3 linked regions of the Tamandua tetradactyla genome follow. The main gene of each other region encodes a partner of the protein of the gene in region 3 in a complex. Links are inferred from orthologs where the notes say so. Each region holds a gene or a part of one and is shown on either strand. Other genes may lie near its edges. The genes, in order: UPF3B, MAGOHB and EIF4A3.

Evidence for each region.
Region 1: EIF4A3 (region 3) and UPF3B share a complex: the UniProt entries of both Homo sapiens proteins name them as parts of the mRNA splicing-dependent exon junction complex. The link is inferred for Tamandua tetradactyla from reciprocal best matches to the Homo sapiens genes EIF4A3 and UPF3B.
Region 2: EIF4A3 (region 3) and MAGOHB share a complex: the UniProt entries of both Homo sapiens proteins name them as parts of the mRNA splicing-dependent exon junction complex. The link is inferred for Tamandua tetradactyla from reciprocal best matches to the Homo sapiens genes EIF4A3 and MAGOHB.

Annotation. Positions count from the first base shown.
Region 1 is NC_135353.1:46,953,475-46,961,400, reverse strand, and holds the start of UPF3B (regulator of nonsense transcripts 3B), read right to left. Parts: upstream 3,061-7,926; 5' UTR 2,897-3,060; coding exon 2,741-2,896; intron 1,824-2,740; coding exon 1,717-1,823; intron 1,539-1,716; coding exon 1,432-1,538; intron 1-1,431. UniProt on the Homo sapiens protein: Involved in nonsense-mediated decay (NMD) of mRNAs containing premature stop codons by associating with the nuclear exon junction complex (EJC) and serving as link between the EJC core and NMD machinery.
Region 2 is NC_135333.1:73,225,093-73,232,380, forward strand, and holds the start of MAGOHB (protein mago nashi homolog 2), read right to left. Parts: upstream 3,067-7,288; 5' UTR 3,002-3,066; coding exon 2,908-3,001; intron 715-2,907; coding exon 656-714; intron 1-655. UniProt on the Homo sapiens protein: Required for pre-mRNA splicing as component of the spliceosome. Plays a redundant role with MAGOH in the exon junction complex and in the nonsense-mediated decay (NMD) pathway.
Region 3 is NC_135332.1:72,433,360-72,441,458, forward strand, and holds the start of EIF4A3 (eukaryotic initiation factor 4A-III), read right to left. Parts: upstream 3,016-8,099; 5' UTR 2,924-3,015; coding exon 2,755-2,923; intron 1-2,754. UniProt on the Homo sapiens protein: ATP-dependent RNA helicase. Involved in pre-mRNA splicing as component of the spliceosome. Core component of the splicing-dependent multiprotein exon junction complex (EJC) deposited at splice junctions on mRNAs.

The sequences.
Region 1 (7,926 bases), on a different chromosome or scaffold from region 3:
AAAAGTTAAACACAATTCAGATCAGGCTAAATGATTAGGAAATCATTACTATATACTGGAATAAAGAAGCAGCTGGTTTGGGGTATTAATAAAAGTTGGCCAAACACAGTTAGCAATCCAACTTTTACTGGCATATTTGCTGATAAAGAATGAAAATTTTTTTACCATATGATTATTCCATTCTTGTTATATAATCAATAACTCACAATATCATCACATAGTTGTATATTCATTATCATGATCATTTCTTGGAACATTTGCATCAATTCAGAAAAAGAATTAAAAAGAAAACAGAAAAAAATTCAAACATACCATACCCCATACCCCTCCCTTTCATTGATCACTAGCATTTCAATCTACTAAATTTATTTTAACATTTGTTCCCCCTATTATTTATTTATTTTTAGTTAATATATTTTTCTCATCTGTTGATAAGGTAGATAAAAGGAGTTTCAGACACAAGGTTTTCACAATCACACAGTTACATTGCAAAAGCTCTATCATCTTAAAGAAACATGGCTACTGGAGCACTGCTCCACACTTTCAGGCAGTTCCCTCCAGCTTCTCCATTAACATCTTAACTAAAAAGGTGATATCTATTTAATATAAGAATAACCTCCAGGATAGCCTCTTGACTCTGTTTGTAATCTCTCAGCCACTGACACTTTATTTTGTCTCATTTCACTCTTCCCCCTTTTGGTCGAGAAGGTTTTCTCAATTCCTTGATGCTGAGTCCCAGCTCATTCAAGAATGACTTTTTATCAACTTTGAAATAATACCGAAAAAACAAAACAAACGACACTCCATTTACCTAGGATTGCAGAACTAAAGGAAAAGTGACCAATGGCAGTTTAGACATTCCCTATCTATAGCTTATAAGCAGCAGATAATAAAAAGAAAGCTAAGGTGAAAATGTTTCTTCCCTATAGATTGGATCCTCCTGGGTACAAAGAGGAACATCATCAAATTTCATGTCTTAATTACATACAAAATAGGGAGAATTCTGTGTTGCATGTAGAATACATTAAACAGTATTCTAACTGGAAACTATGGGCTATAAGGGATTTGAATTAAATAATTAAATAAATGTTGGTCCTTGAAGCAAGATGATAAGTAAATATATAAAACTTGTCTTACAAGTTCAAAGAGTCATTTATCAGTACTGCTGTTGAGACTAGTAAATAATCCAAATAACGTTATGTAATCCAGGGCACAAAATTTATTGTATGAAAAAAAATTGGTGGCAATTTCATGCAGGTGATCAAACCACAGAAATAACAGATCAATAAAAATACTCAAGGGCTGTGAAAAATCACATATATATTTAAAAGACTGCAATAAGGTTTTCACATGTGTAAAACTTTTTAAATGTTGTATATTTTACCACCCAGGATTTTAGAAACGCTATGAAGGCACTGAGGATATGCTCACCTTTATTGTCAAGGAATACATAACCATCAAAGCGATCCCTGAATAAAATAATGTCCTCTTGGTTTTTAAAGTTGATGTATGCTCTGGCATACATATGAGGATACAGACTGCAGAGAGGAAAGCAATTGTGTTAATAAACTGGTGGGTATCTGGTTGAATTACAAGTATATGTACATTAAATAAAGAGACAGTTTCAAAAATCAAATTGAAAATATTAGTAGAATGCAAAGAACAGAAGAAATCTTTTTCTAATTTACCACCCCATCCCACTTTTTTTTTTTTTACCTAGTATCATTAGAAAAAAACTCAAAATAATCATGCTCTGGCATAGGCTGAAGATGTTCCTGAAGCTGCTCCTTGGTCAAAGTGGGAGGTAATCTCCGAATCACCACCTTAAAAAAATGAATAAAGGAATTAGTAAAAATCAATTTCCTGTCAATCCTGAAGGAATCATAATCCCTAAGGAAGGATGAGATTTAAAAGTCATTACTTACAAAAACCCAGGAGAAAATATTTTCTGTAGCCTAACGATCAGAATTAGTCAAACATAATAGTAAGGCGGTTTTAAAAAAATTCCTACAAATGAGAACCGCTTGGCATTAGGAAAATCTTAGAGTCTGCTCTTAACTCGCAGTCCCGCGGTATTCTAGGTTTACGCACCATTTTTCTATTACCCATTTTTCAACAGGTCTAGTGGTAAATCAGTAAGTCAACCCTGGTCTTTTGTGGGTGCCAAGGACTCTTGATTCATTAATCTTTCTCTCCCACATCTAACACCTCCTAAAACAAAATCCTTCATTCAATTCAATGAATTCAAACTCTAACGAGCATGAAAACATTCACACCACTGCCCCCGAAATAAGATGCTCCCCATTCGCCTTCCACAGACCATTAATTCCCCCTACACTCTTCCCCAACTCGCTTCCATTAATATTGCTATCACAGGCTACTCCCGCACCTGATGTTCCCTTCACTTCCTAATAATTTTCCTCAATAAACTTTTAAATTTCCGATTCTCCTCACTGTCGCGCACCGTCTCACTTCATAATTATCATCTCACAGGTTTGACCTAAACCCTTCTCGTCTGGGGAGCCCCCCTTTTTCCTCATTCCCACGGCCGGGCTTGGCCGGTAGGAGCTCCCCCCTCCCCTCATTTCGAGCAAGTGGATGAGGCACTGTGGTGCGATTTTCATTCAGGCGAGGGAGGAAGAGGGGGACGAGGAGATGAAGAGGGCACCCCCATTCCCAGCCATCATCCACTGGCGGCGGGGCGTTCCGCCCTCTCCCCGGCCAACAGTCGACCGAGTACCTTGCTCATTGCCTCTTTCTTCTCCTTACTGCGATCCAGCTTATCTTCTCCCTTGGCACTGTCCCCCAAAGTCCCACAGCTGCTGCCGGTAGCCCCCGGCGGCGTTAGCAGGGTTACCCGCTTCTCCTTCGGCCTATGCTCCTTTTCTTCCTTCATGGCCACGGCTACGCTCTTCACAGATCTGCTCCGCCAGAACGCTGCTGCGCCGGGAACCTAACGAAGCCAGCCCAGCTCCCGTCAGAGCTCCGCCCCCAACAATGCCCCTAGTTACGAGCTCCGCCGCTCGTTTGATTGGGCAGTGCCAAGACCTCGCGAGATTTCATGCACCAGGCTTCCCTCCGAAGAAAAGTTTCAACACCTGGTGCTTACTTCTCGCACGGCCGAATCCTGTCATATCCCAGACTCCCTTGGGGCCCGCTCCTTCGCACAGGATTGGCTAACACCACCGTCTTAAATAAAAAGACTCTTTCGAAAACTACAAGTCCCGGCATACAAAGCAGTTGCCCCTTCTGGTTGAGAGAGGCCAGGGTCCCTATTTGTAAGTAAATCCAATCCTTTAATCTTGAAAGATATAGGTTCTGCGGGCTGCACTTAGCTTTGTTTTCCTCGTATAAATCCAGTGTTATCCAAAATTTGCCTTGCTACGGGAACGGCTTGTATTTTCTTGATATTCTGAAGTGTACTTTCAGAAACTTCAGTATTTTCCTTATATTGATTAGGATCCATAGCTGATTCCCAGATACTTAATAAATACTCATAAGATTTGGTATATGAAGGATTTAATATGACTAAAATATGTGAGATTTGTTTTCATCACTCGTTTATAATTTAAGAAAGGATTCTATTATTGTATTGATGCCTCACAAGGAGGAAAAAATAAAGTAAAACCTACTTTGACTTAGTTGGGGTAACCCTCCTCAGTTAAAAAAAGTCAATTATACATTATTCTTTTTTTAAATTATTTTATTTTATTTTTTTAAATACCAAAAAACACCTAACAAACACAAACATTCCTATTTTGATCATTCCGTTCTACATATATAATCAGTAATTCACAATATCATCACATAGTTGCATATTCATCATCATACTCATTTCTTGGAACATTTGCATCTATTCAGAAAAAGAAATAAAACAAAAACAGAAAAAAATTTTATACATACCATACCCCTTACCCCTCCCTTTCATTGATCACTAGCATTTCAAACTAAATTTATTTTAACATTTGTTCCCTACATTATTCTTAATAGACCCAAACTGGAGAGAGTCCAGTGTCGGTCAAGTGATGAATGATTAAAAAAAAAAAGTGCGTTGGTACGAGGAAATACACCGCAACAAAACGAACTGATATCACGCATCAGAATTGATGAATCTCAAGCTAAGTATGCTAAGTAAAAGAATGCAGACGCAAAGAGAGGACATGAGGACATGCTGTATGATTCCACTTACATGAAATTCTAAAGAAGGGCAAAATTGTAGTGATAGAAACCAGATCAGTGATTGCCAGGTACAAGGGAAAACATTTAGGGAAAAAGGGGAGAAATGGAAGAGAAAACAAATGATAAGCTAGAGAGATACACAGATATTCACATAAGGCAGGATACCAACTTAAGGATACATTAGGAGCCCAAAGCAGAAAGTTGGCTCAGTACCAAATTCCTACTTTTGCTAATGTCTAGAATATATTATTCAGATCTGTACTAAAATTTTCCCACCCCTATTTCCCAGCCTATGCTGAGTTCCTAATGCCTGTTGCAAAGACTGTTTCCCTGAATTTGTGGCCTGTTTTGCACTTTTGCTTTCAATACCTGCCTGTTCTTATAAGCCTTGCTTAAGTATATTCCTTTGACATCCTCCATAACTCTGCACTTACATCTTGGTGTATACCCCCATTTTGAATGCTCATTAGCTTTAAACCACCAGTTACATATCAGTTATTGGAAATAGAGTGTCCCAGGGCTCGGTCCTTAGAACTCTTTTCTATCGATACTCCTTTGTTGAGCTTATCCAGTCTTCTGACAACTCTAAATGTATATATCCACTGTGTATCTCTCTCTCTGAATTCCAGACTCATAGCGAATTGTTTACTTGACATCTCCTCTTGGGTATCTAATGTCTCCAGTATCTCTGAACACATTTGTTTCGGTTTCCTTGTTGCTAAAGCAAATACAATTCAATGGGTTATCGTAAACAATTGGAATTTGGTGGCTTATGGTTTGAGGTTAAGAGAAGTCTTAATTGAGGTGTTATTAATGCAATGCTTTCTCCCAGAAGACTGGAGTTGTTTGCTGCTGCCTGCAATGCTTGGACCTTGGCTTTTCTGTCACATGGCAATGCATATGGCAGACTCTCCTGGCTTCTCCTTTCTCTTCTGGGTTCCATTGACTTTCAGCTTTTGGCTGCTCCCTCTGGCTATCTCTCTTTCTGTAACCGTCCATTTAAGGCTTTCAGTGATAGGGTTAAGACCCATACTGATTCAGCTGGGCCACACCTTAATTGAAAAAACCTCATCAAACATTTCTATATACAACAATTCATACCCACAGGAATGGATTAAGTTTAAGAATATTTTTCTTGGTTACATAGCTCTAAAACATCACAACATCCAAAACATAACACTTGATCTTCCCCCACACCAATTGTGTTAGTCCTAGTGTTGCCGTAGCAAATTATCACAAACTTAATGGGTTAAAATATCACAAATTTATCTTGTGGTTCTGTAGGTTGAAAGTCCAACATGGGTGTGCTAGTTTGAAGCTGTTATGTACCCCAGAAAAGGCCATGCTCTTTTAATCCATTCCTTTGGGTGCAGACCTGTTGTAGGTGGGACTTTTTTTTCAATTAATTTTTAAATTTTTAGAAAAGATATGACAAGAAAGAAACACAAATATTCTTAACATATGATCATTCCATTCAACATATATAAATCATTAATTCACAGTATCATCACATAGTTGCATATTTATCATCATGATCATTTCTTAGAACATTTGCATCAATTCAGAAAAAGAAAAAGGAATAGAAAAATTCATACATGCCATACTCCTTACCCCTCCCTTTCATTGATCACTAGCATTTCAATCTAAATTTTAACATTTGTTCCCCCGATTATTTATTTTTATTTCATATGTTTTACTCGTCTGTTGATAAGATAGATAAAAGGAGCATCAGAAACAAGGTTTTCCCAATCACACAGTCACATTGTGAAAGCTGTTTCATTATACGATCATCTTCAAGAAACATGGCTACTAGAACACAGCTCTACATTTTCAGACAGTTCCTTCTAGCCTCTCCATTACATCTTAAGGTGATATGTATTTAATCCGTAAGAATAACCTCCAGGATAACCTCTCAACTCTGTTTGGAATCTCTCAGCCATTGACACTTTGTCTCATTTCACTCTTACCCATTTTGGTCAAGAAGGTTTTCTCAATCCCTTGATGCTGAGTCCCAGCTCATTCTATTATTTCTGTCCCACGTTGCCAGGAAGGTCCACACCTTTGAGAGTCATGTCCCTCGTAGACAGGGGGAGGGCAGAGAGTTTGCTTGTTGTGTTGGCTAGAGAGAGAGGCCACATCTGAGCAACAAAAGAGGTTCTCCTGGGCGTGACTCTTAGGCCTAATTTTAAGTAGACTTGACCTATCTTTTGTGGGGTTAAGTTTCATATGGACAAACCCCAAGATTGGGGGCTCAGCCTATAGCTTTGGTTGTCCTCACTGCTTGTGAGAATATCAAGAATTCAACTTGGGGAAGTTGAATTTTCCCCCTTTCTCACCATTCCTCGAAGGGGACTTTGCACATACTTTTTTATTCACTGTTAAAATCACTCTGGGATTTATCGGGGCATCACTCTGGACAAACCAACAAAATATCATGCCCTACTCAGGGTTCCATGTACTTACGGTATTCAATTAAGCCATCTACATAAGTTATATTAGGAAATGCACTAGTCAAAATATAAATTTTGTACCAAAACATTTTTTGCTATAGTGTGACACATAGTTAAAATTTTAAAATATTAATTACTATCAATTTTCAACACCCTGCAGTAATGACGTTCCTATGTTCTTGTAGGTGGGACCTGTTGATTAGGGTTTTTCAATAGAGATGTGACCCAACCCGTTAAATGTGGGTCTTAATCCTTTTGCTAGACTCCTTTAGGAGAGAAATGACAGAAAAAAACCCAGAGAATTTCATAGAGAAAACCCGCAGGGAAGTTAAGAGAAGACCTACAGAAGCTCAGAGAGGAAGCCACTGAAGCCAGAAGCTGGAAGCAGTAAAACCCAGGAGAGAAGGACTAACAGACGCCGGCCATGTACCTTCCCATGTGCAGAGGTTTCCCAGATGCCAGTGGCCTGTCTTCAGAGTCAGGTGTCATCCTGTTGATGCCTTAATTGGGACATTTTCATGGCCTTAGAACTGTAAATTAAAACTATAGGTTGTAATTAATGAATCCCCATTTTAAAAGCCAATCCATTTCTGGTATATTGCATTCTGGCAGCTTTAGCAAACTGAAAGAGTGGGTCTCATTGGGCTAAAATCAAGGTGTTGGCATGACTGAGTTCCTTTCTGTAGGCTTTAGGAGTGAATCTACTTCCTTGATTTCTTTGTCTTTTCCAGATTCTTGAGATTTTACTCATTTTCATTGATTTGTGGCCCCTTCATCCGTCTCCAAAACTAGCAACATAACATCTTTCTAACCCTGCTTCTGTTATCATGTCTCTTTCCATGATCCTCTTTTCTGCCTCCACCATCCACTTTAGGGAACTCTGAGTATATTGGTCTCACCTGGATAATCCAGGCTAATCTCCCTATTTTAATAGTCAATTAGTAATCTTAATAACACCTGCAACCATAAATGCCCTTTGCCATGTAACCTAACATAGTCACAGTTCCAGGGAATAGGATGTGGACATCTTGGGTGATGTTGGTACTGCAGCATTATTATGCATATCAAACACTGTAAACTTTCTTTTTAATTAAACTTTTAAAATTTTTTATTAGAGAAGTTGTGGTAATTAAACTTTTAACTAAAGTATAACACATGTATAGACAAGTGCCCAAGTAATAAGTGTATAGCTTGATGAATTTTCACAAGGTGAACACACTCATGTAACTAGTTTTGAGATTGAAACAAAATATTGCCAGGATTCCAGAAGCTTCTTTAGTGCCTCTTCCCCATCACT
Region 2 (7,288 bases), on a different chromosome or scaffold from region 3:
TTTCTATGTGGGACAGAAAGGTACTCAGCACCAAGGTACTCAGCACCAAGGGATTGAGAAAACCTTCTTGACCCAAAGAGGGAAGAGAGAAACGAGACAAAGTAAAGTGTCAATGGCTGAAAGATTCCAAAGAGAGTTGAGAGGTTATCCCTGGAAGTTATTGTTAGACATTAAATAGATATCACCTTTTTAGTTAAGGTATAACAGAGAGGCTAGAGGGAACTACCTGAAAATGCAGAGCCATGTTCCAGTAGCCATGTTTCTTGAAGATGATTGTATAATGATATAGCTTTAGCAATGTGACTGTGTGATTGTGAAAACCTGGTGTCTGATGCTTTTTTTTTATCTACCTTATGGACAGATAAGTAAAACATACGGTTTAAAAATAAATAAATAGGGGGAACAAATGTTAAAATAAATTTAGTAGATTGAAATACAAAAATGAAAGGGAGGGGTATGGTATGTATGAATTTTTTTCTGTTGTCTTCTTCTTTTTTCTGAATTGATGCAAATGTTCTAAAAATGATCATGATGAATATACAACTATGTGACAAGAGAAAAAAGAATGTTCACATTGTGTGTTTACTGGTTTTATTAATAAAATTTTTTTTAAAATGAACTAAATATAAGAATTAGATATTTAAAAAGAACTTACCTCTTTTCTGATCATAACATCATTTTTGTAATTGCTGTTGTTGGCATATCTAAGCTTTCCTATGGGAAAAGAAAAAAATTCAATCTGTAACAGCAGAAAAGGCTAAAAAAATATTGTAAGCAATTTTGAAGGTAAAGACCATTTTATGCTGCTATTTTATTATTATTTCCTCCTTCATGCTTGGTGAAAAAGATGCTCAATAAATATCTGTGGGTAAGTTGGCTGAAGCTAGCCAAATTTTTAAATATTCCATTCCTACAATATATGACAAAAGGGTCATTTTTAAGGCCCCTTTTCCTAGCTATCACAAATTAGCAAAGGATTTTGGAAAAGGTACTAACATTTATTTTTCAGGTTATAAATCTGAACTGGTGCTAAGTGGTTTAACTTAGCACATCTAATCGAATCTAAAAGCAAACCTTAGAAAGGTTTTATTACCTCTATTCACAGGTGAGTAAACAAAGTAACTTGCCCATGGTCACACAATATTCAAATTTATATATACTGTCTTCCTATACTCATGCTTTCTCCACTACTTCAAAATGTTCTTTTAATTATTTTCCTTCAACGTAAATGTAATTATAAATATGGCAATACTAATGCTTTAGAATTGTGACTAGAAAGTATACAGACTACACAAAGCTCCCATACAGAAGTTGACTAGTTTGTTGGCTGGTTTATATTTAATTTTAACACATCATGACTTTCATATTCCCTGATGCACACTTCTCATTGCCAACTCGTTGACCAGGTACAGAAGCAAATTTTGTCTTGATCATCTGCATTTAATGGTAATAGGGTACCCTACTGAGGTGTATCCTTTAGGTACTGTCTTTGCGAGTCATTGTTACTGATGGAAGTATGTAGAATGGTTTGACAGCAGGTAAATGGATAAGAAGCACTGTTCTGGGATGAAAATTCCCTAATAGCCTCAGGGTACTTCATTTATGTAACTGAGTAAAAGTGATATTGAAATGCTGGATGGTGGTCACAGGTGAGGATACTGTGAAAACTGTATCATGTTAAGGAATAAATAGGTGAAGAATTCAGCTCCTTTACCTCCTTAGCTAAATTTGGAAAAGATATGGGGAAAACAAGCCTGAATAAGGTAATAAGGGTTTCTCATCTGCAGAGCAATAGTTACCTAGATTCCTGCCTGAAATGTCTATACTCTTCCCCTTTCCTAATATGTGACCCTCTCCCTAATTTTTCTTTCATGCTTTCGTAGAACCTTTTCCAAAGCATGATTACAGCACTTCTTATCCATACTGCTGTATGGTCTGTTTCATTTCTGTGTCTTTTACCAAGACACAACTCATTGAAGGCAATTAAAGAGTCTTACCATTACAGTATTCTCAATTTCTGTATATGACACTTTGCCCCAACACATAATATGCATTCAAAAAGGAAAAATCTAATCCAGTTGAACTGTCCTGTGACAGGCAGGCAGAGTTCAATACGCAATAAAGCACTTTAAAAGAGTTTGTGCAGTCAAGAGATCAAATTTGCTGTACATTTCGTGAGTGCTGGGAGTTTCACCTCGCCCTCTACTCATACTGTTTTGGTAGTCTGGACTATCTCCCTCAAAGGTCATGAAAATACCTACTCTTATTCCAAAACTCATTTCTAGGAAGCTTTTTCTGACCCTCATCAGATAGAGCTAATCACTAATCACTTTTCATGTCTGAATTCCTAACGTACTACTGTGGTAGACAATCGAACCCCAAACACATCATTTCACTCTTCTGTATACACTTCGGGGACTCTCCCCTTCAGAGCAGGTGTCATTTCTTTCTTGACCTGCTGCTTTACACACACTGCCTGAATGAAAAAAAGTGAATGAATGGGGAGAACGAAAAGTAATCAGTCACTGGAAAATTTTAAGCATACACAGGCCCACCGCTGGGTAGGGTGTTGTTATAACTGCCCAAGTATTAGACCTTCTGCCACACGGATTCTAGGATTCTGAATACCACTGATTCAACTTTTCAGTGTGTGACAGTATTAGCTTTTCTGAACTCACACCAATTAATCCTTTTAGTCACAAGAATCAACTTAGGCTTCCTATATTCTTCAGCTACTTACTTCGGCTCAAGCAGCGGCTTCAGCTGCCACAGAACACTTTCAAGTCCACCGCGGCTTGCTCGCTCCACCCCACACCCCTAGTCCTTCGCCGCCTCTTCTCCTGGCTTCCCCTTTCCCGACACCCCCGCAGAGTTGCAGTGCCAGCAGCCCCCCCCCAGCCCACTCACCATCCGGCCGAAACTCAAACTCCAGAAACTCGTGTCCAAATTTGCCTTTGTGCCCTACGTAGTAGCGTAGGTAGAAATCGCTGGCTAGAGACATTTTTGTTTCCGGGAAGCCGGCAGAAGGCCTGGGCAACGTGCCGTCCGGCGCCTGGGAGTGACGTCAATCGCCCCGGATTAGCGCGTCATCGTGGTCGCCGCGCTTCCGCCTCGCAGATTCTGCGAAGGCAAGAACAATGGCTGTGTCTCGTGGGAGAGGCTCCGGAGAGAGCAAAGGCAGGTCAAAAGTGACTTGAACTGCTTTGCGGAGATCGGAAGTACGCTATTTTAAAAATTAAACGGATTTTGTCATATTAGCAGAAGACGAAAGTATGAAAATACGGTACTGGTTTTTTGTGTGTGCGCTTAGTGCTAAGGATTGCAAGTCGCTTTATTCTGGTCTCAAGTCTCGCGCAGTTGTAGGCGGTGGATGTGGCTTTACCCAATTTTAACTGGTTAAGTGAGTGAAGATAAAACCCAGAGTCGATGGGAAATTCGTCATACAACAACTTTCTCTACGTGATTCCTAACACCGGGTTTTCCTTTTGAACGATGATTGTTAGTTTTCCTGGAGACGGACGCCTGTAATAGAGACACAAAGTATAGAAGTAGCCCTCTGAGGAGATGTCTGAAGTTTTGAAAAACATATTGAAACTGAAAATTCTGACAGCCTTGGAATAAAAGAGTTCCTTTAATAGTAGAAACTTCTTAGATGCTTCATTCACTGTGTAACTGTTAACCTTTAGTGACCTATGGAGTTTTGGCAGTTTGACTCAAGATCAAATAACGGTTTAATCCAGGTTTCTCATATAGATAGATATAAAATTGATAAAAATAAATTGAGAAAGTGAAGGTAAGTTCTACTGTGAGGTAGTTTTGAAGATGGAAAAGACAAGGTGAGCTTTTACACAAAGTCTGGTTTTCTGATATTGGACAACCTTCTGTTACGAACAGTTATGTGTCAGATGACCCTTAACCTTCACTGGAATTTCATGGAAAGAGTAGCAGTCCGAAGACCTGAGATTCAATCCCAACAGAACTACTACCTAGTTCAAGTTAGTAGTTCTAACTTGTTCAAATCACTGTATGTTCATCAAGGAAACAGGTGTACTACAAACAAGCTTTGCCAAACTCATGAAATTGTTGATTGGAGTAAATGAGATAATGTGTGCGAATAAGCTTTGAAATTTATAAAATACTACGTAATGCATTTTAACAAGCATTTTCTTATTTGTCAGAAATAAAAAGAAAGACTTTTGCACTTGTAGTCTAGAAGAGAAAACAAACATGGAGAAAGGTATTAGCACAAGGAAGCAACTGCTATATTAAAAATTTGTGGAAAAATATGCTGATAGTGCAGGAGAGGAGCAAGTGTATTGCAGAGAGAGGAAGCTGAAGAAAGGTATCAAGGAAGGCTTGTGAAAAGGTGTGCTATTTTAATTGGACATTGACAGATAACTTCAGTGTGTCTTCAGTGGGATGATATGGCCTGGGCAAAGGCACAGTGTTATGAAAATACTTGGTGTTGGAGAATCCAAGAAATGCAGTATACCTAGAACATAAGATTCTCTGAAGTAGAATAACTAGAAAGACAGACTGGGCCAAGGTATGTTGGACCTTATAAATAAGGTGTTACTATATAACTGTTTCTATAGAAATTTTACTTGGTATGAACTACTATAGGCCACCATTATGGAAAATACATAAGAAACATAAGGCACCATCCCTAACCACTACAGTGACAAACCAGTCCAGTTTGTCCAGCCTGTAAGGTTTGCTAGGATGTCAAAACTTTCAGTTTTAAAACCTGTGAGATCCCAGACAAAGATGATGTGGTCATTGTACTTACCACATGAATAACCCACTGAAATTTAACCACAATATTCAATACAACTCTGAAATATTTACTGTAATCCATTTATTTATGTGGTAATTTGGAGCTATGCAACCAGAAGAATATGTTTTTAAAATTAATCTGTTCCTCTGGGTATGAACCCATTGTAAGTAGGACCTTTTGAGGAAGTTACTTCAGTTAAAGTATGTTCCAACTCTATCAGGATGGGTCTTAATCCTATTACTGGAGTCTTTTATAAGTAGAATGAAATTCAGACAAATAGAAAGCAAGAAGTTGAAGGTCAGAAGCCTTCAGAAGAGACCACCATGTGCATTGCTGTGTGATGCAGGCGCCAAGGACCAAGGATCACCAGCAGCCATCCCTTGAAGGCCACTCTAGGGGAAGAAAACGTCACCATGATGATACCTTGATAACAATAAAGCATAGATTTGGACTTCCGGACTAAAACCATGAGTCAATAAGTTCCCATTGTCTAAGCCAACGCATTACATGGTATTTCTTTGAGCAGCCAAGAAAACTAAAGCAATTTAGTTTCTATGGGAAACCTCGTTCATTGTCTTTAGATTTCCTAATCTGTTTCCTTCAAATTTTTAGTCTATGTGCCAGTATTCCTCTTCATGTCTACTTAAAGAGAGCTATGGATACTAGAATTTTTGACTATGTAAATAAAGCTCATGGAATATGCAAAGATTTAAGGTCTTTGTCAATGGGCCAGTTTTGGTTTTTACCCTCCTAGAAAGGCTTTTAGGCTCAAGACTAATCCCCTCTAGCTCTACCTGTTTTTATGATATAATATGAAAATATATTTACTCAGCTCTTCATATTTTAACCAAAATAGCAAAGCTAAAATATGTATTTCTCTAATCATGATAAAGATTGCAAAGTGACTAAAGCATTTGTGTTTTGTAGTCTTCTCAGATGTTACCCAACAACAATGTGGAAATGTTCTGTGTAGACAGCACTTGAAATGTAGCTAGTGTGACTGAGGAACTGAATTTTTAATTTTTAAATATTTAAAAATTTTTGTTCATCTAAATTAATGTTTAAGTAGCCACATCTGGCTAGCATGATGGACAGTGCACTTGTATAAAGCCCTTTTTTTCTTTTTACATTTTTACTTGGGCTGGGAATAGTGAAAGCATTTTGTGAGTGTGTTTAAATCTCAGTAGCTCTAGGCTTCACATTGCGGCATACTTACTGGTATCACCACAATTTACTTATGAAAATAAATGTTTGGGCTGCTTAAATGAAGGCAAATAAAAGTCTTTCATTTGGACTGCTGTTTTCAGCTTTGCTAACACAACCTATCTTTGGTCAGCTTCAAAGCACCTACATGAGGATGGTGCAAGATTAATTGATGAAGAATTCTTCCTACCATCCTGGAGCCCTGGGTTCAATTCCCGGACCCTGCACTTCCGAAAAAGGGAAAAAGAAATCAAAGCACCCTTGTGAGGTATTAGGAAATAAGCACGTGATTTCCAATTTCAATGAAAATTGAAAAGAAATGATTTAATCAAATAATACACAACTTTAAAATTGGCAAAATAATTCTTTCCTGCTACAGTTTTTTTGTCTGTGTGTGTGTTTTGTTTGTTTTAATTTTTGCTTTCAGGTAAGGGGGCCGGGGTCAGAGATGATTCTTTATCATTACAAATTTATTCTTTAAAATGTTCTGATTTCTCCTACATCTAAAATTCTCTCTTCCTTTGATCGGTTTTTCATATCCCCACTGTCCTCCCCTCCTTTTTTTTTTTTTTGTCTTTATACCTATTTCAAATTATCAAATCATTCCTATTTTCAATTTTCAGAAACATGGGCTAACTTTCCTGTGATAAACATTGGGGGTGGTAGTTTTACTCTCAGTTTTCTTTATTTTATCAATCACTTTTGAATAGTCCTTTATCCGTCTGTCTACCCTTGTCTTCTGAAATAGTCTTCCTATAGAATTTTAACCATATCTGTCTTTTTAACCACTCAGTGGTATTACTTTTTAACTAAGAGAGCCACTGTCATGCAGAAAAAACAAAATTTCCACACCGTTCTTTCTCAGATATGCTCATTCATATATTATGAGCACTTGCAGCTATTCTAGATTATCATGGCATGATATATTTAACTCCATTATTCAAACTAGGAATTGTTTTCTAGTGTATGATGATATTGAATGCTTCTAACATGTATCATAACTGCTAATTCTTGTGTCCAAAACAACAACGAAAGAGTCTGTTGAATTAAGCATAGGCCTGGTCTGGATCTTTCAGTACTTGAATTATTTAAGTGAGTTATGTTAGTCCAGAATTTTATACATATATAACAGCAATGTTAAGATTAATAAAATTCTATCCATTAACTTATTTTTTCTTTTTAAAAACAGTGAAAAATCCCCACTATTATTCAAGTTTAACAGCAGAATACCCTAAATCTAATGTAAGGATACTAATATCTTCATGAGCATAATTTGAGAACTATTGGTTCAGACTATTCCAAATTAAA
Region 3 (8,099 bases):
AACCCTTGTGGAATCTTATATATTGCCCTAGGTGCTCTTTAGGATTGGCTGGAATGGTCCTGGTTGCGTGCTGGCAGGTTACGACAGGTAGCAAGGTCTACCTGAAGCTTGTGTAAGAGCAACCTCCAGAGTAGCCTCTCGACTCTATCTGAACTCTCTGCCACTGATACTTTATTAATTATACTTCTTTGCTCCCTTTTGGTCAGGTTGTAATTGATGATCCCATGGTGCCAGGTCTGGATTCATCCCTGGGAGTCCTCTCCCATGTCACCAGGGAGACTTTCACCCCTGGATGTCATGTCGCACGTAGCGGGGAGGGCAATGATTTCACTTGCAGAATTGGGCTTAGAGAGACTGAGGCCATATCTGAGCAACAACAGAGGTCTTCCAGAAGTAACTCTTAGGCATGCCTATAGGAAGATCTAAGCTTCTCCGCTACCTACATAAGCTTCACCAGAGTAAGCCTCATGATCGAGGGCATGGCCTACTGATTTGCCAGTAGCCCTGATTTTCGAAGACAACTGTATAACTACCTATTTTCAATGTAACTGTGTGATTGTGAAAACATTGTGGCTTACCCAGGTATGGACAGATGAGAAAAAAATAAGGACAATAAATAAATAAATAATGGGGAAAGGGGATAACGGGTAAAAAAAATTGGGTAGACTACAATACTAGTGGTCAATGAGAGGGAGGGTCAAGGGGTATGGGATGTATGGGGTTTTTCTTTTTATTTCTTTTTTCTGGAATGATGCAAATGTTCTAAAAATGATCATAGTGATGAATACACAATTATGTGATTATATTGTGAGCTCCTGATTGTATACTTTGGGTGGACTGCATGGTGTGTGAAGATATTGCAATAAAAACATCAAAAAAAAAAAGTATGTGTATGCAACATCTAGAAGTATGGGTGCCAAAAGGTCATTGGTGGTCACCCCTGGAAATGGGGTTGGGGGAAGAGAACCTAATTTTTTCTTTAATTAGTTCTATCTTTGTGGCTGGATCTAAAAAGCCTGTATTGTTTTGTTCGTTTGTTTGGAGGAGAGTATTACTTTTTAAATTAAAAAAGAAAATCTGTAACACTGATTACAGCATTATGTGTGTGGGCTATTTGTGTTAACTCTAACTGCATTTAGTTCCTGCTTGGATCATACTGTGTGTCCTGAGATAGAGAATCCGGTCTCCAGGCAGCTGTGGTAATCACCCACCTGCTATCCTCTGGTACAGCAACTACCAAGGGAGGGGTTATTTTGAAGGACCATGTTCGAAGTAAACAAAACTTTATATACAAAATCATAGTTCAATTGTTTTTCAAAATACAGTACAAGTTCCCATCTTAACATAAAAGCAAATATAATATCCTTTAAATCCCTCGGAATGTGCAAGGACACAGTTGGGAACCAACAACAGTATTTTAGAACAAGGAGGCCCTGGGATGACGAGAACGGTGCCTGCCTCACTATCAGGGTCAAGGGTTTCTTTTCACCTTCCAAACCCTCAGACAGCTTTCCCCTCACTCTTCTAATGCCTTGTGCTATCAAGGACCTTTGGAAATTGTTTGGATGAACGATACCCTATCCCAAGCTTTAAACACAGATCATTCACCCATCAGGCCTGACTTCTTCCCTGGACTCCAAACTTGCCTGGACAACTGCCAACCCAAATGTCCAAGTGCATGGCTCACAGGCCTCTCAAGCTCTCCATGTCCAAGGTAGACAGAGCTCCTAATTTTGTCTTCCCAGGTCCTTACCCCATTTTCCCGCCCCCACCCCCCGTCAAGCAAATGGCACCATCACCCAACCAGTTACTCAACCCCCCCAGAAATCAGGCTGGGGTCCTCTGCCACTAGCATTCAAAATCACTGGCAAATTCTGTCACATCAGCTCCACTGTCTTCCTCTCTCGGTCCACTGCAAAGGCATCATCTCTCACCTAAACTAGAGCAAAAGCCTCCTAAGTCCCTGTTTCCAACCCTGCCTCACCTTCCCTCCAAATCCACAGAGCACCCGGAACACTCTCTTTAGAAATAAAATTCAAACTCTATCACCCCAAACAATGCTTTGCAAGATTCAATTCCTGCCTATCTCTCTAAACTCGCCCCTAAGCTCATAACAGGGGCTTCTTTAGATTCCTGGAATACACCGTGCTTGGGAAGATGTGCGGGCAGCTGGCACCAGCTGCCTCTGCGGGGACTTCTGTGGCTGGCGCTTAATTCAAGTCTCAGCTTAAGCGTCACTCCCCTTATCTATCTGCTCTATTTCAACTAAAACTGCCCCCACCCACCTCACAGTCACTCTCAGTACTGACTCACCCCGCTTTATTTTCCCCAATGAAATTATCACTGCCTGAAACAACCTTAGTTACACCTCGTCCTTCTCCCAAACAGTATTTAAGCCCCATAAAGGCAGGAAACTGCCTGGCTGGCTGCTAAATCCCCGTTGCCCAGAGCAGCACCTGTTGCCTAACGCCTAATGCGTATAAAACAGTTCCTATGAATGGAGACTCTTAAGGTGCCTGGAGACTCTGCACCCCTTGCTGAGCCTAGCAGGGCACTCTGCACCAGGGAGAGCATATGGGACGAAAGATGCAGACGTGGAGTGACGGCTGTGCGCCGGGGCGGGGGGAATCTCACGTCACTGATCCCCGGAGCCTCGGAGCCTCCGCCACGACCCCCCACGTCGACCTGCTCACCCAGTCGCCCCTCCCGGAATGCCGCCGCCCCGGGGCTCCCCTAAGCCCGCGCCCCACCGACCGTAGGCGTAGATGCCGCGCAGAAGATCCTCCCGCAGGCCCATGGTGTCGAACGTGGGGGTTACATCCACCTCCTCGCTGGTTTCGAACTCCACTTTGGTCATGTCTTCCTCTTTGAGCAGCCGCTTCCGCGCGGAGCCCGACGTAGCCATCGTGGCGGTGGCCGCCATGATTCCGAGGCCACCGAGAGACGAGCGCGCGGCGGACCGGTGGCTGGTCCCAGGCGGAAAGCGGAAACAGGCCGCTGCCGCCGGGAACTGACGCCATCGCGCGCGCGTGCGTGTGGCCTCCGTGCGTGTGAGCGTGCGTCGGACGCTCTTGGTCACGTGAAAGGGGTGAGGCGTTCGCCGCAGGGAAAGCGGTGGTGGATGAAGTTCTCGCGAGATCTGAAGCTCCCGCGGGATGTAGCGCCCGGAGCCACGCCTCCCTTCTCGAAACTTGGGGCGGCTGAGGGAGAGCGTAGCGTGGGTGGTTTGGGGGCTGTAGTCGTCGATGTCTGGGTGAGCGGATGAACAACACGGGGACACACTTGTGTGTCACTTATGGGTGCTGTGAATGGCCGCCGCGAGTCGGCGTAGGCGGGAGGCCCGTGGAAACTGGGCGAGGTCCCAGAGGGTCGCAGTGAAAATGTGAGCGCGCATCTCTAAAATCTGAGTGTCTGCTGGTTATGCGTTTTAGGCTGATGTTATCATCGGCATCTCTTTATGAGCCCCGTGTGAAATTCGTTTTTATTAAAACCGGCTAGAAACCATATTCAAGGGACCTGTTTGGGGAAAGTTTTGAATTTCTAGCTGTTTGTCCGCTCTGACGGGACTGCCCCTTTTTAAGGTCCCACGTGGGCAATACGAAGTTGCCCCGGAGCGCCGCGCGGTGAGAAGTGTCCAGGCTTGGACGTGAGCATCCTTCCGTAAAGGATCGCGTCGTTAGTACTTTTGTTTCATTTTTGCAGTTTGCTGTAATGTCAGGGCTTACACGTGGGATCGTGCATTAACGCCTAGATTTTGTCTGGAGGAGGCGCTAATAATTTCTCCCCTGGGGAAAAGATGAGGTCATTTAAAATACACGTATCCCGAACTAAAATGCAAATATTTCTGTATCCCTTAAAAATAAATAAAATATAAATTAAAAAAATATATATATTCGTATCTCTTGACCAAAGAAACAATTCAAAAGGAGACACAAGTATGTTAGGAACAAGGTGTTCCTAACAGCAAAACCCAGCAAATAACTTAAATGCGAAATGTAAAGGAACTTTTAATTAAATTATGTATTTTCAACCCAATGGAGTATTATGTGGCTGTGAAAATGATAAATATACTATGTATCAAATGTATATTACATACCATATATTAAGATGTATGTTAGTTATTGTAAAGGAATTAAAAATCCTCCAAGTATTTTGTAGAAAATTAGCAGTGGAGTTTAGACCACAGAAGACCAAATTCTGAAATGCTGAAAGAAAATGAAAATAAAATTCAGATCCTTGTTAATCTTAACAGAAGCAGAGAAATAGAATAATTCTAAGATGATAGAGGGAAAATTAAAACTTGTAGAAATATTTCAAAATGTTCAAGTTGTGTTCTGAGAAGATGTAAAATACGCATTTATGCTGACCAGAAAATAAATAAATAAATAAATAAATAAAATACATCTTGTATCAGAGTAGAGTTGTGCATTTAACCTAGCCAGCTTATTCTAAACTTTTCAAAAATGCCTTCAGAAACCCAGTTTCTCAGTGATGATTGAGCCAGATTTACCATCTCACTGAGTCCCTCTTTAATGGGTTAGAGTTACTGCTTTTTGACACCTGTCCAGTTCCGTGTTGTATGAGAGTTGTGTTTTAACTATTTGCAAGTTAAACTTCCAGCGAGTGTCGGCTCTGTCCTTTCGCCTTGTTCCCCTGGCTTCAGTCACAGGGTGTTCCTTTAATCCATGGCCTCTTGGCTGGAGTGTTTAAAGCACTGCTTTTGTGGAGGCTAATCTAAAATCAGGCAATAGTTTTATCCTCTGAACCAGGTACATGGGATTCTCAGTGGCTTGAAATATGTTGACCCAGAATGGGAGGGTGGGGCTTCTCTCACCTGAAGGCCTTGCCCTGGACTCAGGTCTGTCCATCCTGAGATGACTGACCTTCCATGGGCCTAGAAGGGTGTCAGAGCAATCTAAATACCAAATATTTGTAAGGCTGAAATTCTTTCTTATGTTTCGAGATAAATGAAGTCCGAAAGCAAGTTCTTATGTTTTCTTCTCACCCCATGAAGAATTATTCCATACCTTCTCTGAGGTGTACAATCTCAGTTTTGCAAGCAGGACTCTGGCGCTCTAGGGCTGTGTTGTGTAAGGAAATAGTGTTAAATTTCTCTTTAATAACTTTATATTGGTTACTGTTGCAATAATATTTTGGGTATCTTGGGTTACATAAAATATGCTATTTAAATTAATGCCTCTCATTTTTTTGCTTTTTGAGATATGGCTATTAGAAAATTTAAAACTACATATTAAATTCCTATTGGATAGTGCTGCTCTAGGGTACCCGGTAGCATATAAAAGAACCTTGCCAGGCATAAGGGGAAAGAATAGAAATTTAGTGATTTGAAAAATTCCAGTATCAATAAGGAGGGAATGAAATTATTCCAGTCTTCTACTCGTTCTGAATTTTTTTTTTTTAATCTTAGTCAGGCTGCCCCTAGACTTGTTTTTTGTCTTCACTTAGACTTGTCTTTTGCCTTCATGTTTTCATGGCAAGGTGTTCTAAACGTTTTATGCCATTTTCCTAACAATGTCCTTTTTGTTGTGTCTGAGTGTTCGTCTTAAGTTCTCTTCCTTTTGTTTGGGGCTCTCTACATTTCCTGGGGCTGCCATAGCAAAGTACCACCAACTGGGGGGCTCAAAGCAACAGAACTTATTCTCTTGCAGTTGTGGGGATCAGAGGTCTGCGATCACTGGGTTGGAAGGGCCACACTCCCCCTAAAACCCCTGAGGAGTGTTCTCCTTCAGCCCTTCCAGCTTTTGACAGCTCCCTGCAGTGCTTACTGTGACTTGGCTTGTAGCTGCATCAGTACTTTCACCGCCTCCATCTATACATGGCTATCTTCTCTCTAATGGGTGTCTGTCCCTCCTCTCCCCTTCCTATAAGGATATCCAGCATATTGGATTAAGGGCCCATCCTGCTGCAATATGGCCCCATCTTAATTTAACTAATTCTGTCTGCTGCAACCCTGTTTTCAAGTAATGCACAAGTATCTAGGGTTAGAACTCTGAAATATCTTTTGGGGAGTGCATTCAACCTGTAACTGGGGCTAATAATGGTTTAACCTAGAGTCCATGAAAATGAGAAGAGCTCAGGGGAAGGGGGCCGATGCTATCTCTAGGTGAACCATGCTCTCTAGGAAACCTGGAGAACCAAACAGATATGGTTCCTGCCCTCCTGGAAACTACAGTCTCATCAGGTGAGGTAGCCTCCTGCCCCCTGAAAATTGTAAACTTGGTGGTAACTGAGGCACTGGAGACAGAGCAGGTGCTGGGATAGAGCATGATGGGAGGTGCCCAGCATGACTGGGAGGGCGGCCCAGGTGTGATAAACCCTGTACGTCCACTCTTTAGGGAGCTCAGAGCTGGAGGTTCATGCAGTAGATCACAAAAGACCCATATTTTTGTCATGATGCAGGACGAAGTGTTCTGGGTAATTGCAAGGAGAACAAGAATTCTCAGGAGAACAATTTTTCTATTAAAACTCGATGCACAGGGCAGGCCACGGTGGCTCAGCAGGCAGAGTTCTTGGGTTCAATTCCTAGTGCCTGCCCATGCAAAAAACAAAAACAAAACAAAACAAAAAACCTCGATGCCCATTTTCACAAAACCTGGGCATTGCCCACCAAAGTCCTTGTGGCATCCAGACAATTTCCAAGCACTCATCACTAGTAGGCGATTATCCCTTCATTGGTCACACGAGAGAGCATGCCTCAGTTGCTCACAGTATGTGTTAAAACACTTGCTCTGAGGCAGCCTTGGCACATCAGCATCTACTTAAGAAGCAAGAATTGACAACCCCCTGCTATCTAATCCCTCTGCTTACATTCCCAGACTCATGTTTGGAGTCTTATCAGAAACCTCAATTAGCAATCCAAGTAGAGAGTGCAGGCAATGTGATATGTTAACCACTTGACTAGTGGAAGAGTGAATGGCCAGCTAGAAAAGCTAAAGTGACCTACAGGGAGGAGCAGAGTGCCCTGCAGAGTGGACGTGCCGGGTTTCCACGCTGGACCCATCAGGCCAGCCCCACTGGGTGCCTCAACGCCAGCGGGGGGGGCGGGGGTACCCATCGTGCACCCTCTCAGCACCCACTCTGGCTCTGGTGACTCAGTTTCTACAGAGTTTAGGATTTTCGGGGGGCAGGGGGCTTCCTCTCCTGATTAAACGGTAGTCTCCAGAAGGGCAGGGACCTTGTCTGTCTGTTCTCCGTGTTTCCCCAGCACACAGTAGATGTTTAGTCAATACCTGTTGGCTTGTTGACTGCTCACTTGATGTCCAGGGCAAGAAGCGGGGAGGTACACGGGACCCAGGGAGGTTGGCCAGCTCACCACGTGGCTGCCTCAAAAGCCGGCCCATCCCTTTCCTGATCTGTGTTGGCTCCGGGAGAAGGTTCTGGAGGGTCATCCTGTCCAGGAGTGGGAGCAGAGCTGCTCTGCTGGGCTGGGTTTCTCATGAATCACCTCCATACAAGTCCATGCCCTGGACAGAAGTGACCTCCATCCAAGGGACTGTCCCCAAAGCAGGGCTTCCTGTCAGAAGTCCACACCCATTTCCAGATACTAAAGAGTAAACACTCCTCCTTTCCCGGCGCTGTCCTTTCTCGGTCCTTCCTGCTGGGGTGGGGCGCCTCACCAAGTGCTGTCCAGACCCACCTGCAGCGTCCACAGTGTCCGGCCTTGCCCCTGCCCCTGCGGGGAGTCAGGCTTTGGGCCACCGGTTGCCCTTTCCTGGGGCGCTGTTCTAGGTGCTGAAGCCAGAGGCCGACAGGACAGGCAGAACCTGCCCTCGGAGTTGGCGTTCCAGCGGAGGGCAAGGCCCACGAACACAGACATGAGGAAGACAATCGTGGGCTTTGTAATTACTGTGGAGAAAATAAAATAAGGTGCAGGGGATGAGAGTTCCTGGGTGGTGCTCTCCCCAGATGGCTGCGGGGAGGGGCGGCCTGAGCGGAGTTGAGAGGAGGTGGGATGGAAAGACCGGGGCGGGGAGGAGTGTCCGGAGCAGAAGAGCCCGAGGCAGACCTGAGATTGGCGTGATTGAGGGGCAGGGCTCAGGGCATGGTAACCACAGTGATGCCGGGTCAGGGGAAGTGGA